4 linked regions of the Oryctolagus cuniculus genome follow. The main gene of each other region encodes a partner of the protein of the gene in region 4 in a complex. Links are inferred from orthologs where the notes say so. Each region holds a gene or a part of one and is shown on either strand. Other genes may lie near its edges.

The links.
Region 1: the proteins of KCNAB2 (region 4) and KCNA1 are in contact, whole or in part, in a crystal structure (PDB 1EXB), measured with the Rattus norvegicus proteins. The link is inferred for Oryctolagus cuniculus from reciprocal best matches to the Homo sapiens genes KCNAB2 and KCNA1. Residues at the interface, in NP_059000.1 of Rattus norvegicus: Met196, Tyr199, Ser200, Arg203, Glu231, Lys235, Ile236; in NP_775118.1 of Rattus norvegicus: Glu37, Met70, Phe73, Asp74, Pro75, Leu76, Asn78, Tyr80.
Region 2: the proteins of KCNAB2 (region 4) and KCNA2 are in contact, whole or in part, in a crystal structure (PDB 5WIE), measured with the Rattus norvegicus proteins. The link is inferred for Oryctolagus cuniculus from reciprocal best matches to the Homo sapiens genes KCNAB2 and KCNA2. Residues at the interface, in NP_059000.1 of Rattus norvegicus: Met193, Met196, Tyr199, Ser200, Arg203, Glu231, His234, Lys235, Ile236; in NP_037102.1 of Rattus norvegicus: Asp28, Glu33, Pro62, Met66, Phe69, Asp70, Pro71, Leu72, Arg73, Asn74, Tyr76.
Region 3: the proteins of KCNAB2 (region 4) and KCNA3 are in contact, whole or in part, in a cryo-EM structure (PDB 7EJ2), measured with the Homo sapiens proteins. The link is inferred for Oryctolagus cuniculus from reciprocal best matches to the Homo sapiens genes KCNAB2 and KCNA3. Residues at the interface, in NP_001186789.1 of Homo sapiens: Met196, Tyr199, Ser200, Arg203, Glu231, His234, Lys235, Ile236; in NP_002223.3 of Homo sapiens: Pro133, Met137, Phe140, Pro142, Leu143, Asn145, Tyr147.

The regions. Positions count from the first base shown.
Region 1 is NC_091440.1:104,540,983-104,544,412, reverse strand, and holds KCNA1 (potassium voltage-gated channel subfamily A member 1), read left to right. Parts: upstream 1-1,395; coding exon 1,396-2,883; downstream 2,884-3,430. UniProt on the Homo sapiens protein: Voltage-gated potassium channel that mediates transmembrane potassium transport in excitable membranes, primarily in the brain and the central nervous system, but also in the kidney.
Region 2 is NC_091438.1:59,753,218-59,757,464, reverse strand, and holds KCNA2 (potassium voltage-gated channel subfamily A member 2), read right to left. Parts: upstream 2,845-4,247; 5' UTR 2,783-2,844; exon of another isoform or gene 2,677-2,782; intron 2,216-2,676; 5' UTR 2,067-2,215; coding exon 567-2,066; 3' UTR 493-566; downstream 1-492. UniProt on the Homo sapiens protein: Voltage-gated potassium channel that mediates transmembrane potassium transport in excitable membranes, primarily in the brain and the central nervous system, but also in the cardiovascular system.
Region 3 is NC_091438.1:59,681,258-59,685,548, forward strand, and holds the start of KCNA3 (potassium voltage-gated channel subfamily A member 3), read left to right. Parts: upstream 1-1,491; 5' UTR 1,492-1,629; coding exon 1,630-3,363; 3' UTR 3,364-4,291.
Region 4 is NC_091438.1:161,396,566-161,400,917, reverse strand, and holds the start of KCNAB2 (voltage-gated potassium channel subunit beta-2), read left to right. Parts: upstream 1-1,526; 5' UTR 1,527-1,615; intron 1,616-2,101; exon of another isoform or gene 2,102-2,220; intron 2,221-4,352.

The sequences.
Region 1 (3,430 bases), on a different chromosome or scaffold from region 4:
ACGGGGTTGGGAGGCGGCGAGAGTGTTGGCGATCGTCTTTTGCCTCCCAGCTTCGGGAGAGGGTGGCATTTGGCATTTCCGCCCCGCATCCTCCGGAGCTCCCTGCACTGGCGAGAGAACGGCGTCTCCAGGTTGCCGGCGCCCGGGGAGCATGGGGGCAGGGAGCCGAGGTCTCCGCCGCAGCTGCTCGCTGAAGCGATAGTCCGACTGAGAGCCGCACAGGACGAGCGGACGGACCAGGACGGCTGGGGTGCCGGGTGCCTCTCGGCTGCTGCGGCGGCGGCGCGGAGACTCGCGTCCGGCTGCAGCTAAGACGACCTGCCGCACCCCGACCCGGGCTCCCGGCAGACTCCGCACCGCCCTGCGCCAAGCCAGCAGTCCAGGTAGGGGGCTCCGCAGCCCGGGGCTGCGGGACCCGGGTGTTGGGGTGACGGGGTGGGGACGGCGGGTGTGTGTACGTTGGGGGGAGGGTTGCAGAGACGCTGCTCGGGATCCGGAGCTCCCCCTCCTGGGGTCTCTTGGCGCTTTAGCGATCTCCAGTGTAGCGGAGTTGTAAACAGCTCGGCCGTTGGGCACCGGGGAAAGTGGGACGGAAGAGCCCCAAACTTGGATTTCGGGGTGTCTGCGTGTGTGTCTGTCTGCGTGTGTGTGCTGTCCTTGGTCCGAGTCCAGTGCGTTCCCCACAAGCTGCACGTCCGTGCTCTTCGGTGTCTGTCGGTCCGTCCCATCGGAACGCTTCTGATTCTCTGCCCCCCGTATCACTTTCTATTTCTCTGCAGCGTGCATCGATCGCCCTTGGTGGGAGCTTAGAAGGCGGCAGGCGAAGAGGGCTAGGAGGGGGGCGAGCCGAGGAGCAGCGGAGGGGGTGGCAGGCGTGGGGCTCCGCTGAGCTGGCAGCGCCCCGCGGTCCAGGGAGGGCTGGCGGCGGGGCGGGGAGGCCGGGGCGCGCCCCGAAGCCATGGCCCGATCCACTGGAGCGGCTCTGCGTTAAGGCACCGCGGGGCAGGAAGGAATACAAAATAAAAGAAAAAGAAAAAAATAAACAACTTTTAGAACAAAACAAAACGAAACAAGCACATCCTCCAAACTCGGCCGTCGGCACAAAATCCTGGTCCGCGCCGACGAGGGGGATTCCCATTCCAGAAACAGACAAGGTGCAGGGCCAGGCAACCGGGAGCCAAATCGCAGGTCCGCTCACCTGCTCGCTCGGAAGCCCAGCCCCCTGAGCGCTGGGGAGACCCGCACGCGGGTGGCGGTGGTGGTGGCTGCGGCGGCGCGGTGGCTGCGCCTGGGTCCCCCCAGCCCCTCCGCGCTCACGCTTCCCCAGCCCCAGGCTCCTCGCCACCCTCACCCCCACCCCAGGCCTCCCACCCTTAAGCCCGGCCGGCTTCCATCATGACGGTGGTGTCAGGGGAGAACGTGGACGAGGCCTCGGCCGCCCCGGGCCACCCCCAGGAGGGCGGCTACCCGCGGCCGGCCGAGCACGACGAGCACGAGTGCTGTGAGCGCGTGGTGATCAACATCTCAGGGCTGCGCTTCGAGACGCAGCTCAAGACCCTGGCGCAGTTCCCCAACACGCTGCTGGGCAACCCGAAGAAGCGCATGCGCTACTTCGACCCGCTGAGGAACGAGTACTTCTTCGACCGCAACCGGCCAAGCTTCGACGCCATCCTGTACTACTACCAGTCCGGGGGCCGCCTGCGCCGGCCGGTCAACGTGCCCCTGGACATGTTCTCCGAGGAAATTAAGTTCTACGAGCTGGGTGAGGAGGCCATGGAGAAGTTCCGGGAGGACGAGGGCTTCATCAAGGAGGAGGAGCGCCCCCTGCCCGAGAAGGAGTACCAGCGCCAGGTGTGGCTGCTCTTCGAGTACCCCGAGAGCTCGGGCCCTGCGCGCGTCATCGCCATTGTCTCGGTCATGGTCATCCTCATCTCCATCGTCATCTTCTGCCTGGAGACCCTGCCCGAGCTGAAAGACGACAAGGACCTGGCGGGCACCTTCCGCCGCGTCGACAACACCACCGTGGTCTACAGCGCCAACATCTTCACGGACCCCTTCTTCATCGTGGAGACGCTGTGTATCATCTGGTTCTCCTTCGAGCTGGTGGTGCGCTTCTTCGCCTGCCCCAGCAAGACAGACTTCTTCAAGAACATCATGAACTTCATCGACATCGTGGCCATCATCCCCTACTTCATCACGTTGGGCACGGAGATAGCGGAGCAGGAGGGCAACCAGAAAGGCGAGCAGGCCACCTCGCTGGCCATCCTGCGGGTCATCCGCCTGGTCAGGGTGTTTAGGATCTTCAAACTCTCCCGCCACTCCAAGGGCCTGCAGATTCTGGGCCAGACCCTCAAGGCTAGCATGAGAGAGCTAGGGCTGCTCATCTTCTTCCTCTTCATCGGCGTCATCCTGTTTTCTAGCGCAGTGTACTTTGCCGAGGCGGAGGAAGCTGAGTCGCACTTCTCCAGTATCCCCGATGCTTTCTGGTGGGCGGTGGTGTCCATGACCACCGTGGGATACGGTGACATGTACCCTGTGACAATTGGAGGCAAGATCGTGGGCTCCTTGTGTGCCATCGCTGGTGTGCTGACAATTGCCCTGCCCGTACCTGTCATTGTGTCCAATTTCAACTATTTCTACCACCGAGAAACTGAGGGGGAGGAGCAAGCTCAGCTGCTCCACGTTAGCGCCCCGAATTTAGCCTCTGACAGTGACCTCAGCCGCCGCAGTTCCTCCACTGTGAGCAAGTCTGAGTACATGGAGATCGAGGAGGAAATGAGTAACAGCATAGCCCATTATAGACAGGCCAACCTCAGAACTGGGAACTGCACCACCGCTAACCAAAACTGCGTTAATAAGAGCAAGCTCCTGACCGATGTTTAGAGAAAGGTGCAGGTGCACGCAAAGCCGCCCCCCCGCTTACCAGACGCAGAAAACAGAGCGCACACTTTGTAGATACTTTCCTAGATAATCTCTGAACGCTCTGTTTCACCGTCAATGCATTGTTGCATTGTGGATTCTGGAGGTGGCCTACCAGACACTTTTTGAGATTCCTGAAAAAAGAGACTATTTTCATTTTATTGAAAAATAAAGTTGGGAAGAGAAAGGGTATTTTCTAAAACTGGCTTTAAAAAATGCAGTCCATGAACTAGTCTAGGTGAAATATGATTTAGATGCCACCCCCATTCTGAAACATTTTTAACCCTTTGGCTTGTTTAACATTTTTTTAAAAAACTTAAACTAAAAGCCAAACGATCACTTAAAAAACTAGCATTTGCATGGGACTCCGATGTAAAACCTTTGCAAAGTGCACAATAAGACTGTGCATTAACTGTGTTGCAGTTAACACGATACCCCAGCCCCCGGGACAGTGAACAAATGCTTCTATTTGGATCAACTGAACTGCATATGACTAGGTGAAAAAAAAAAA
Region 2 (4,247 bases), about 100 Mb from region 4:
GCAATTTGCAAACCCCAGCCTGAGACACGGAAAGGAATTCTAACACACAGGACTGTGTGCTCTTTTAAATGTAAAAAAAAAAAAAAAAAAAAAAAAAAGGAATGACCTTCTGAATAATGACCCAGAGCTTTAAAGCTAAGCCATAAGCCATGATAGTGCTCCTCTGTGAGGGGCAGGGAGGGAGCTCAAACAGGACGCGGGGTCGGGGTGAGGGGTGTGCATCTCTTGGGTGTTGTGGGCATTTGGTTAGGAAAGGAAGGTGGCACTGATATGGTGGTTTGAGTACTGGATATGAGGTGGCCTCAATGTGTCTTTCTAAAATCCTGGCTCCATAGGTGACTCCCATCTTTGGAAACCCAACAGCAGGTGATGAAGGTTTGCATGAAAGCCACGACAGATATTCTGTGTTCTAAATCAAAAATCAAAAGGTCGAAAGTCACTTGCACAACTATTGCTTTCCATGCAGAACCAGAGACACACTGTAGAACACACTGACTACAATGCAGGCTATTATGCAACATCTGCATTAGTTCCATGGAGCTGTGAGTTATGTTAAGAGGTTTCGATCAGACATCAGTTAACATTTTGGTAATATTCACATAGTTTGTGTTAGCCAAGGTACAGTTGGCTGTTTTCAAGTTTTCCTCTCTAAAGTCCTCATTACTGTTGTTCACACCCTCCTGGATCTCCATGTAATCGGACTTACTAATGGTGGAGGCACTTCTACTTTTCTTTAGGTCAGGGGAGGATGGGATCTTTGGACAGCTTGTCACTTGCAAGTACTGGGCCTGTTCCTCTCCCTCTGTCTCCCGGTGGTAGAAGTAGTTGAAATTGGACACTATGACTGGGACCGGTAAGGCAATGGTTAACACACCTGCGATGGCGCACAGAGAGCCCACTATCTTTCCCCCAATGGTGGTTGGAACCATGTCTCCATAGCCTACGGTTGTCATGGAGACGACTGCCCACCAGAAGGCATCCGGGATGCTGGGGAACTGAGAATCTCGCTCATCGGCTTCTGCAAAGTAGACAGCACTAGAGAACAGGATGACCCCGATGAAGAGGAAGAAGATCAGGAGGCCCAGTTCTCTCATGCTGGCTTTGAGGGTCTGCCCTAGAATCTGGAGACCTTTGGAGTGTCTGGACAACTTAAAAATCCTAAAGACTCTTACCAACCGGATGACTCGGAGGATGGCCAGCGACATGGCCTGCTGGCCCTGCTGGGCGTCCTCGGGCTTCTCGGCCAGCTCTGTCCCCAGGGTGATGAAGTAGGGGATGATGGCCACGATGTCAATGATGTTCATGATGTTGGTGAAGAACCCGGCTTTGCTGGGGCAGGCAAAGAACCTCACCAGGAACTCAAAGGAGAACCAGATGATGCAGAGCGTCTCCACGATGAAGAAGGGGTCGGTGAAGGAGGTGGACTGCTGGTAGCCGGCGGTGCTGTTGGAGTAGGTGTGGAAGGTCATGCCGCTGCCATGCATGTCTTCGTTCTCGTCCCGGAAGATGGGCAGCGTCTCCAGGCAGAAGCTGACGATGGAGATCAGGATCACCATGACGGACACGATGGCTATAATCCTGGCGGGCCCTGAGCTCTCTGGGTATTCGAAGAGAAGCCAAACCTGCCTCTGGAACTCATTTTCGGGCAGGGGCCGTTCCTCCTCCTTGATGTAGCCCTCGTCCTCCCGAAACATCTCCATGGCCTCCTCACCCAGCTCGTAGAACCGGATCTCCTCGGAGAAGATGTCCAGGGGCACGTTCACGGGCCGCCGCAAGCGGCCCCCTGACTGGTAGTAGTACAGGATGGCGTCAAAGCTGGGGCGGTTCCGATCGAAGAAGTACTCATTGCGGAGGGGGTCGAAGTACCGCATGCGCTTCTTTGGGTCCCCTAACAGGGTCTCTGGGAACTGGGCCAAGGTCTTGAGCTGTGTCTCAAACCGCAGCCCTGAGATGTTGATGACCACCCTCTCGCAGCACTCATGGTCTGCCTCGGGGTCGTAGGTGTCCTGGGGGTGCCCAGGCAGGGCAGCGGCCTCATCTGCCGGGTCTCCGGTGGCCACTGTCATTATTGGGGCTGAGAGAAATGCCTCCTGCTACGCCTTCCAGCTGCCTGGTGGCAGGGAGCTCAGGGTGCTGCGAACGGCCCCAGGTAGCGCAGAAGCATTGGCCTGGGCGCCCCCAGAGCTCTCTGAGAGCTGGGGACAGCCTCGCTGGGCTGTAAGACAGAGGCAGTGAAGGACGTGAGACCACTTGGCATTGGCAACCTGCCCTGGGCTGCTGCCTGGGTCTCCCATCTCAGCCAAGGGCTAAGCCACCTGGACACAACCACCAGCACCACCAGCACCATGGCCAGAAAGTAAAATTCCCTTTCACCTTGTAACTCGTCTGGGGCATTGGAAGGGAGCAGGTGTCGGTCTTTCAAGGGAGCTCTGGCACTGGGGGAAGGTGGCGGGTGCAGCCCCCCTCTGCACCACGAAGCTTCCTAGAACACAGCCCCACACAAGGAGGGGACCCCTTTCCCACACACTGCACTAATGGCTTACAGATGCTTGCACCCTGGGAGGGATCATGTGCAGGCTCTTGGTTTGGGGTGTTCTGCCTGCCCTCTCCCCTCACTCCCTCCCCACCCCCCCATAACTCTACACATGGTTGCCATTCCACCACAGGTGGGTTTACCTGGCCGGCAGGAACCTGAAGCTCTCTTCTTTGCAGAACTGATCAGATGGTGCAGGTATCCTATACACACAAACAGGCCGCCCGACTCCCCATCACGTCCTCTCACCGAGCTAGAAATGGTGAGTCATGCCGGGCAGGAGGGCAGGCTCCAGGTCCTGGAGGTGAGCTCTGGGGCTGGGCCCAGCTGGAGGGGCAGTGGGCTGCCTGGCCAGGGGCGTGCAGGAAGAGAGCGGCTGGCCTTGGGTCTGGAGCCTTTGCAAGGAAGGTGGCAAGATGCACAGCTCAGCAAAAGCCGGAGTCCTGGCTGTCCTCAGGAGGTGTGACCCGGCCTGGAAAAAACAGGAGCAAGGTGGAACCAGGGCTTGGGGGCAGCTGGTGCCAAGGTTTCGGAGGGCTCTGGCAGCTTCACTCGCTGGAGGTGACAGGCTCTTGCCCAGATCTATCCCTCAGCCTCGCAGCCTCTCCTGGGCAGGCTTCCCAGGACTGGAAGCGCCTTCTCCCAGGGAGCAAACCTTCGGGCTTGGCTGCCTGTCTTCTCCAGGGGCCTCCCTGAGCTGATCCACATCCCTGGTCCTGAGCAACCAGGGGAGTGGGGGTGGGGGAATGGCTCTGGGCAACGCACCCCTGGCTCTGCAGGTCGGCACAGCACCACCCAAGGGGAGGGCTTTGCTCACTGCAGCCTGCCTACAAGCTCTGACCTCAGCCAGGTTGTGCAGAAAGAAGCGCCCCATTGCCCCCCTCCCCCCAAAGCGTTCGTTCAGAGCTCGGCGATGGCGACCCCTCCCACAGCTAGGTTGCCTCGCACCGGAGCCGGCCGGCAGGGTGGCTGGGCCGCTGAACTTACTCTCCCCCCAGGGTCCCTGGGCCGCAGGCCTCCCTTGGAGGTGGGTGGCATTGAGCTGGGCAGGCGCACGACCACTGGTTTCTCCCCCAAGAGAAAAATCCTCACATCTCCCCGGCGGGGAGCTCAGAACAAACGCTCAGCCAACCCGGCTGAGAGGCGAGAGGGGGAGCCTGCAGGAAGCCGGCTTCCGGGCTGGCCCCCTGCCGACCCAATCCCCAGGCCCCAAGGCGGGGAGGGGTCCGGGCCCTCGCGGCAGCGCCCCGGGCAGCGGCCGGGATTCCGCCCGGCGCACTCCCCGCGCCGCTCCGCGCGACGGACGGGATCCTGCAGCCCCGCCGCTGCAGCTAGCGCCGCCTTAACCCCTTCCTGCCCGGCGCGCTCTGCTCCCGCAGCGACGACCCCGAGCGCAGTCCAGCTTTTGACCTCAGGGTCCAACTGAGGGACCCGCGAGGCTACCCTCTGCACGCGAAAACGATCGAGCTTGGGCTCGGGCGGGGCGTGGACAGGCCGGCTGCTGTCCTAGATCTCCGCTTCCTCCTAAGCCGCGGGGCTCGGCGCCAGCCCGCGGCCCCCAGCAGCGGGGGAGAAGCCCCTCTCCGCCGCAAAGCCGCTCTCGGCATCCTGCCGGAGGGGTGAACGCAGCTCGGTGGTCCCGCTGGCCGGCGCTATTTACCAGACACGGTTACGCTCAGCTGCACTTCCCATCACCCGCAGGCTCCTCCGCGCC
Region 3 (4,291 bases), about 100 Mb from region 4:
TCAGTGGGAAATTACGGGGGGAAGCCATTGTAATCCATTAACTGTACTTTGAAAATTTATATTTACTAAATAAAAAAATAATATATTGGCCAGTAAAAAAAAAAGAAGAAGAAGAAGAAGAAGAAGAAGACGAAGAACAGCCAGGACACAGTCAGGGATGCCACAACTTAACCTGTTATGCCACAACGCAGATCCCAAATTTCTTTTTTAAGCCTAGGGTTGACATACTGGAATAGTTAAAATTTCTGGAAACAGAAATTGTGTTCGAAGTGACCACAATTTGGAGAAATAGTTTTCGCTCAAAGAGGATAAGCAACAATTACCTCTGAGCCCATATCAAGCAGTAGGAGGAGAAACAGAACGTGGAACTAGCATGTGGAACCAGCATATTAAGTGGAGTCCAGGGAGGAGGCCCTGCTCCCATCCCTCCCAAGACAGACGTAAGTCAGGGGGTCCAATTTTTTTTAAGATTTATTTAATTAATTTGAAAGAGAGAGAGAGAAGAATATCTGCTGGTTCACTCCCCAAATGTGGGCAACAGCCAGGGCAGGAAGTGGGTGGCAGGAACCCAAGCACCTGAGCCATCACCCGCTGGATGCCAGGATGCCCATCAGCAGGAAGCTGGGACTGGAGGCGATTGGACTTGAACCAGGCACTCCTATGAGGAATGCAGGCGGCTCAGCGCAACAACGTCGACCCCAGGAGGTTGAACTTTCTAACTAGCATTGGCCACGTTTCCCACTTTTCCTCCTTTTTTCTCATGGACAGGAAACAGGGTCCTGTAAAGACCAGGCTGCCCTTGCTAATCCCAGCCAGAAACGGTCCTCCGTGAAGTGCTCGCTACAGAATCCAGGTCCCTGAACGCCTGTAATGACCCATTGCTTTCAGAGTCCGGTTGCGGAAGCCATCAGCACCCATTCCTCCACTCGGCTTAGCCAGGCCCGAGCTACATTATTGAGAACATCTCCGGCCCAGGGCTGGGCGGTCCACCACTCCCAAGTGAGCCCAGGACACTGGCCCCGGCCTCCCCGCCTGCCTAGGGAGCCCGCCCGGCCCTGCCATTCCCCCCCTCGACAAGGCTCGGGGACGTGCACCAGGCGCCCCCTCCTCATCCTCCCTCCCCGCCCGCCTCCGCGTTCGGAGGTCCAGAAGCCCCGCAACGTGAGACCAGACCTGGGGGGAGGGGGCCGCTGACGAGAAGCGGGCTGAACTCAGGGGGCCGGATTCCCAGAGGGTCAGCTCGGCTGGCCAGAGAGGTTCAAGGGCCAGGGCGCTCCGAGGTGCAAAATGAGGGCGTTCGTGTGCTACGGACCGGGGTGGAGGGCAGGGGCCAGCTGCAGGCTCGGCGCTCGCCCGGGGAGCGGGGCGCGCGCCCGCGCGGTGGGCGGGAATCCTGAGGGGACGCGGAGGGCGGGCGCGCGCCCCGCGGGGGCGAGGGCGGCGGGGAGCGAGGAGGAGGCGTGGGGAGGCGTCTGTGTTGCCGGAGCCGCACCAGCCGCGCCAGAGCCAGACTGAGCCTCGCGGCGGCTGCAGCAACAGGCGGCGGGCTCGGCTCCGGACGGAGGCGGCCGAGGGGCGGGGAGCGCGAGGAGGAGCGGCTCGGCCCCACCGCCGCCTCTTCGCCGCCGCATGGACGAGCACCTCAGCCTCCTGCGCTCGCCGCCGCAGACCTCCGCCCGCCACCGCGCCCACCCTCCCCAGGACCCCGCGAGCCGCGGCGGCGGCGGCAGCGGTAGCGGCGCCCACACCCTGGTGAACCCCGGCTACGCCGAGCCCGCCGCAGACCCCGAGCTGCCTCCCGACATGACGGTGGTGCCCGGGGACCACCTGCTGGAGCCCGAGGCGGCCGACGGCGGAGGGGGCCCGCCTCAGGGCGGCGGCGGCGGCGGTGGCTGTGACCGCTACGAGCCGCTGCCGGCCGCCGGGGAGCAGGAGTGCTGCGGGGAGCGCGTGGTCATCAACATCTCGGGGCTGCGCTTCGAGACGCAGCTCAAGACCCTCTGCCAGTTCCCAGAGACGCTTCTGGGCGACCCCAAGCGGCGCATGCGGTACTTCGACCCGCTCCGCAACGAGTACTTCTTCGACCGCAACCGGCCCAGCTTCGACGCCATCCTCTACTACTATCAGTCCGGGGGCCGCATCCGCCGGCCGGTCAACGTGCCCATCGACATCTTCTCCGAGGAGATCCGCTTCTACCAGCTGGGCGAGGAGGCCATGGAGAAGTTCCGCGAGGACGAGGGCTTCCTGCGGGAGGAGGAGCGGCCGCTGCCCCGCCGCGACTTCCAGCGCCAGGTGTGGCTGCTCTTCGAGTACCCTGAGAGCTCCGGGCCGGCCCGGGGCATCGCCATCGTGTCCGTGCTCGTCATCCTCATCTCCATCGTCATCTTCTGCCTGGAGACGCTGCCCGAGTTTCGCGATGAGAAGGACTACCCGGCCGCGCCGTCGCAGGATGTGGTGGAGGCGGCCGGCAACGGCACGTCGGGGGCCCCCGCCGGAGCCTCCAGCTTCTCCGACCCCTTCTTCGTGGTGGAGACCCTGTGCATCATCTGGTTCTCCTTCGAGCTGCTCGTGCGCTTCTTCGCTTGTCCCAGCAAAGCCACCTTCTCGCGAAACATCATGAACCTGATCGACATCGTGGCCATCATTCCCTACTTCATCACCCTGGGCACCGAGCTGGCCGAGCGACAGGGCAACGGACAGCAGGCCATGTCCCTGGCCATCCTGAGGGTCATCCGCCTGGTGAGGGTCTTCCGCATCTTCAAGCTGTCCCGTCACTCCAAGGGGCTGCAGATCCTGGGGCAGACGCTGAAGGCTTCCATGCGGGAGCTGGGGCTGCTCATCTTCTTCCTCTTCATTGGGGTCATCCTCTTCTCCAGCGCCGTCTACTTTGCCGAGGCGGACGACCCCACTTCGGGCTTTAGCAGTATCCCGGATGCCTTCTGGTGGGCAGTGGTGACCATGACAACAGTCGGCTACGGCGATATGCACCCTGTGACCATAGGGGGCAAGATTGTGGGCTCTCTGTGTGCCATCGCCGGGGTTTTGACCATTGCATTGCCCGTTCCTGTGATTGTTTCCAACTTCAATTACTTCTACCACCGGGAGACCGAAGGGGAAGAGCAAGCCCAGTACATGCACGTGGGAAGTTGCCAGCACCTCTCCTCTTCAGCCGAGGAGCTCCGAAAAGCAAGGAGTAACTCGACTCTGAGTAAGTCGGAGTACATGGTGATCGAAGAGGGGGGTATGAACCATAGTGCTTTCCCCCAGACCCCTTTCAAAACGGGCAACTCCACTGCCACTTGCACCACGAACAATAACCCCAACTCCTGTGTCAACATCAAAAAGATATTCACCGATGTTTAATAATTGACACGAGTGCTCAGTACTGTGTGGAACGTGCCCCCTTGGTCTGTGTATGCCCTTGTTTTATACATTTCCAGACCATCCATCAAGGACAGGACGTGAAGAAGTGGGAAGCACATTCCATTCTCCCTCTCCCTATTGCTTCATACTGAAACAGGTGCCTGTTTTGCAAGTGGGCTGCATTCTCTCGGCTCTTTTTTTCCTCTCCCTCTCTCTTAATTTTCTGAACAACAAACTTAACATTGCACTTGATTTCTAGGACACGCCCTATTTTAAAAAAAAGTACATCCTGGGAGGAAATGAAACTACAGAACAGTTAGAACTGTTTAACCTCAAAATTGAAAGGTAATTATTTCTTTACTAAGTAAAGCCGGTAAATGCTTACAGGATGCTTCAGTTTGATGGACTCTTAGACATTACCTATTAACTATGTAGTTCAGTTGCCTACTCTTTGGATATGTGGATGGAAAATAGAACTAAAACAGTGACTTGAAACCCCACCAGAAGTTTAGTTGGTTTTGGACTGGAATTTCTGTTTGAGTTCCTCCTCCCAGAACTTTAAGGGTTCTTACAACTTTGAACAAAGGGAAATGCCCAGAATGTTCTGATCTGACTAATATGTTTAACTCTTTGGGACTTACAAAGCATTTCGAAAGTATTAAACTAACAGATTCTTCTGAAGTTCTGTGCATATGCCCCAGCCAACATCTATCAAAGTCTAGAAACAGATGTTTTCAGTGCTGCTGAGAGAAACAAAGAATTTCCTAATGCATTTGAGAGATAAGCTTCTGCAGTATCACCAGAAGATTAAAGTGGCAGACACCCCTTCCAGCGGAAGTTACTAATTCGGACCTGACTGATGCAGTTCCCATAGCAACCTATGTTTCCTGGGAAACCCGAAAAAGGTTGTCATGGTATCTCTTGCTCT
Region 4 (4,352 bases):
TCTTTCTCTGTATCTCCGCCTTTCAAATAAATAGATCTTAAAAAAAAAAAAAAAAAAAAAAAAAAAAAAAAAGAAAGATAGATAGATAGATAGATGTCCTGGAACAAGAGCAGAAGCACCTCTGGGGCCCAAAGGACAGAGAGCAAACCCAAAGCAGGCGCTCCCGGGGGAAACAGGCAGGAAGCGCCGGCCACCCAGCCACACGGCCACTTCATCGCCCCAGCAACTCCGCACGCTCAGCACCACCACAGCCCCCAACGCACAGAGGAAAACCGGCCAAAAGCCAGCCCCCGCGGGAGTGAGGTCAGAGCCAGGGAGGCTCAGGTCAGTTGGCTGAAGCCCCGCGGCCGGAGGGCCCCACAGAAAGGGGCTCCAGCCTTGGTGAGGACCATGTGCACAGAGACCACCTGAGCTTCGGGGACCGGCCCTGCACAGCGACCCAGAAAGCCGCAGCGAACGCAGGGGGCCCCCACGTTCCGCCTCCCCCCTGGGCGCAGGGGGACCCTTGGACCCTTGCGAAGTCCTCCAGAGGCCAACTGGGCAGAGCCGGGCAGCAGCGGGGCTGGCTGGTCGGCGCGTGGAGGTGAAGGCCACAGGGGCCCCGAGCAGAGTCTCGTGGACAACCCTAGGGCCCGCAGGAGCCGGACAGTCGGACGCGAGCCCTCGGGCTCCGCCGGCAAAGGATGCACACGGAGAGGCCTGAGGCACACGGAGGCCAGGGAACCAAGGCCACGGGCCTCGGCAGAGCTCAGGCGATGCCCCGCTTCGGCTGGGGGGCTGCAGAGGGGCGCAGAGGCCGGAGACTGGGGGCAAAGGGCGAGCCGGGAGCTCAGGGTACCCAGCGGCCTGGACCGCACCAAATGTCACGGAGGGGACTGGCGGCGGGCGACCACGGGGACAGAGCCCCGCGCAGCGCCCCGCCGCCGCACCCCTCAGGCTCCGGGTGCCCCACACAGGGCCCGAACGAACCATCCCATCCCCGGGTCCAGAGGCCCCGTCCTGCTCTGCGGCCTTGTCCGACCTCCCCCGTGGCACCAGCCCACATGGTTCCTCCCACCGTGGACCGCGTTACCAAGGAGACGGGCCCGCCGCGACCGGCCGACTGACCAGGCCCGCGCTTTCGAGGAAGTCCCCTCACGACGGGCCCAGAGGCCTGGCAGCCAGTACGCGGTCTTGTGTACTGGCCTCAGGTCTTGCGGGCCGAGGGCCGGCTGAGGGGCGCGCTGCTTCGGGCCGCTCGGAGGAGCCTCGGAAAGCTGGCGCCCAGCGCTCAGGCCGCGGACCCGCCCCGCGTTCCTCTCGTCGTCAAGGCCTCGGAGCCAATCAGAGCACAAGTCAAGGGGGGCGGCCCTCCGCGAGCGCCAGCCAATCGGTGAGGCAGCGGGCCCGTCCTGATTTGCATGGCCGACGATCCCTTAGCCAATATCAAGATGAGAGGCGTGAGCGCCAGCCAATAAGAAACTGCCGGAGGCGTGGCCGCGGGCGTCCCACGAGGTGAAGATGCTGCGGGCGGAACCTGCCCGAGCGAGCGGGATTCGGGGGCGCTCGAGTCGCAGGGGCAGGGCGGGAAGGAAGATCCGGAGCGGGACTCAGGATCCGGAGCTGGAGCCCCCAGGTGAGTGGCGGGGGAGACCCCGGCGGGCCGCGCGTGGTCTGGGCGTGCGGTGGGCACGGCCCTTCGCCCGCTCCTCCCGCCCGGCCCTGCGTCCCCGCCGCCGCCGCCGCCGGTCTCAGCCTCTCCAGCCTCCTCACCGCCTTCTCGCTCGCCTCCCTTCCCCCAGGCCGTGCGCGCTTCTCTTCCCCATCTGTCCTCCCGCCTGACCTTCCAGCTGCCACCCCGACCCTGCACAACTTCCCGCGGCTCGGGCATCCCGCAGCCTCGCCTCCCCCTCGCCCCGTCGGAGCGCCCCGCGTGCCCTCCTCCGACGGCTCGGCCCGGGTCCCGCGGTGCCCCCGGCCCCCGCCATCTCTCCCGTGGGCGCTCCCCTCCTGCCGGCTCCTCTGGCCCCCTACACCCCGCACCCCGTTCCCCGAGCTCGCACCCCCATCTGCAGCTTCCTCCCTCCCGGAGCCCTGGCCCAGGGCGCCCCCACCTCCCTACCTGCAGCTGCTCCTGCGGATGCGGAGACCCGGCTGCTGCAGGGCGCACCCCTGCCCCCCCCCACACACACACACACGCACACCGCGCGCCCGGGCGCCCAGGCAGCCCCTCTGGCTCTTCTGCAGGACCAGGCTCTCCTAGAGCACCCTGGGTGCTCCAGGTGGGAAGCCCCTGCCTCCGCCCCGTCACCATCTCCCTCCCCACCCCCCCTCCCTGTTCTGCTTCATTTTGTGAGTCAGCACTTTTGGGCTCCCTGGGGTGGTGGAGACCTGGCCGTGGGACTAAGGGTGGGTGGTCTTGACTGCAGTTCGCAGGGCTTGCCTGGGTGGGAGAGAGGCCAGGAGCAGGGGCCCGGGCCGTGGGGGGAGGGGGAGCCTCCGCCTCCCTTTCATCTGCCTGCCCTGTGTTGAACCGTTTCCAAGGGGAGATGACATAAGTAATAGCTCTTGGAGAAATGGGCCGTTAGCATTTATGGAAATTAATTCGTGCACATCTGAGCGTAAGAACACCAAGTTCAGGCCACAGCTGTCCCGCTGTCTGTCATGTCAGGATTTCTCTCTCTGCAACTTCTCCCCCTCAAAAACGCCACCAGCGCCACCTCCCCCCCCCTGCCAAGTGCAGGCGCCTGCTCTGCTGCCGTACTGCACTTGGGCCTGCTGCAGGCTTGGGGGCCTGTGCGTGGGCACTGTCTGCCCACCCGATGCGTGCCTGGCAGACGTGTCCACGGGCGGCTCCTGGGCTCCTGGGCTCCTGGCCCTGTGCTCTCGCTGCACCCGGCTCCCCGGATGCTGTCCAGCAGGCCCGACGTGCAGCCTCTCCAGGGAGAGGTCTCCAAGTCCACACGGCCTCAGTGGCGTGGACAGTGTTGGGGCCTCAGCACGTCCCTGCCTCCAGAGCAGCCCGCCGGAGGCTTCCCTTGTACAGCCAACGTCCACCCTCCGTTCGTCGTCGTTACACCAGGCAACACATGCTTTGTGGGCACTGATCAGTGCCCAGGGGTCGAGCCGGGCAAGGGGGAGAGGGAGGTGTCCTGAAAACGCACGCAGTCCTTGCCATGTGCTTCTTGTGTTCAAAACCCGTGTGCGTCTGGATCCGGAGCCTGGTAGGCAGGAAGCACGCACAGCGCCGATTGCCCCCGGGAGCTGGGGTGCGGTGGGGCGCAGGCCGTGGCCCTGGGAGGTTCAGCCCAGAGAGCTCTGGGCTGGCCGGCTCGGGGGGCCTCAGCCTTGGCCTGGCTCGCTTGCCTCTTCCAGTCGTCTTGTCAAACCCGAATGATTCAGGAGGAAGTGAGTGGCAGAGCTTTGGTCTGGCAGTTTCCGGTGAGGGCTGGCGGGAGGGGCTCCTCTAGACCTTGCTGTGTGTTGGCACCGGCTGTGGCAATGGGGCAGACAGACGGTGGCTATGTGGACAGAAAGCCCGCTTCCCTGCTGGAGACCTGGGGAGTGTGGCTCGGTCTCCGGTGTGTTTGGTCCTTGGCTGGTATCTCTGGGACCCTGGTGTCACCAACGGTCCCTAAACAAGGAGGTGAGCCATGAGCGGCTGTGGGCAGGGTCCAGGAAGGGCTGCCTCTGTCAGTGGGCAGGGCCGGAGACCCCACACTTGCCCATACCCCCTCTCCCAGCAGCCAGAGAGAGAGGTCCTAAAGCTACAAGGGCCTGGGCCACCCCAGGCTCCGCCCTGCCCTCTCTCAGAGGGTGGAGACTTCTCCAAGGTCACGGAGAGGCCATACCGGGCCCCCACTTCTTTGCATCCTTGGTGGTCGGAGCTGCAGGAAGCCGACACCCCAAGGGCACGGCCGGCCGCCCTTTGGGAAGCCGCTGTGCCAGTGCCCTTGTGGACATCTGTGTCACCGGAGGGCTGCTGGGGATGGGCAGTGCCACTGACCACAGAGAATTCTGGCCGACCACAGCCCTACAAGACCTGGCAGACGCGCAGTGTGAGCGTGCGATTGTTCGTGACTGTCCACACCGTGGCCAAGCGGTTGGAGGGGGGACAAGCAGAGAAGGGACTGCCCCGACACAGGAACTGCACTTCCTGCCTCGTTTCACCCTGGGGCCCTGCGAAGTGGGCTGGTCAGCATGGATGGGGAAACTGAGGCCTGGGCAACGCCAGACTGACCCTCCGGCCTCCAGCGGTGAGGGGGCCTTGATGCTGTCCTGCCCTGCCAGGACCGTGTGGCCAGCGCTCCCTCTGCTGTTCAGCCCAACTCCAGAAATCCTCCTGAGGTGCTGGGGAGGCGCGGGCTCAGCCC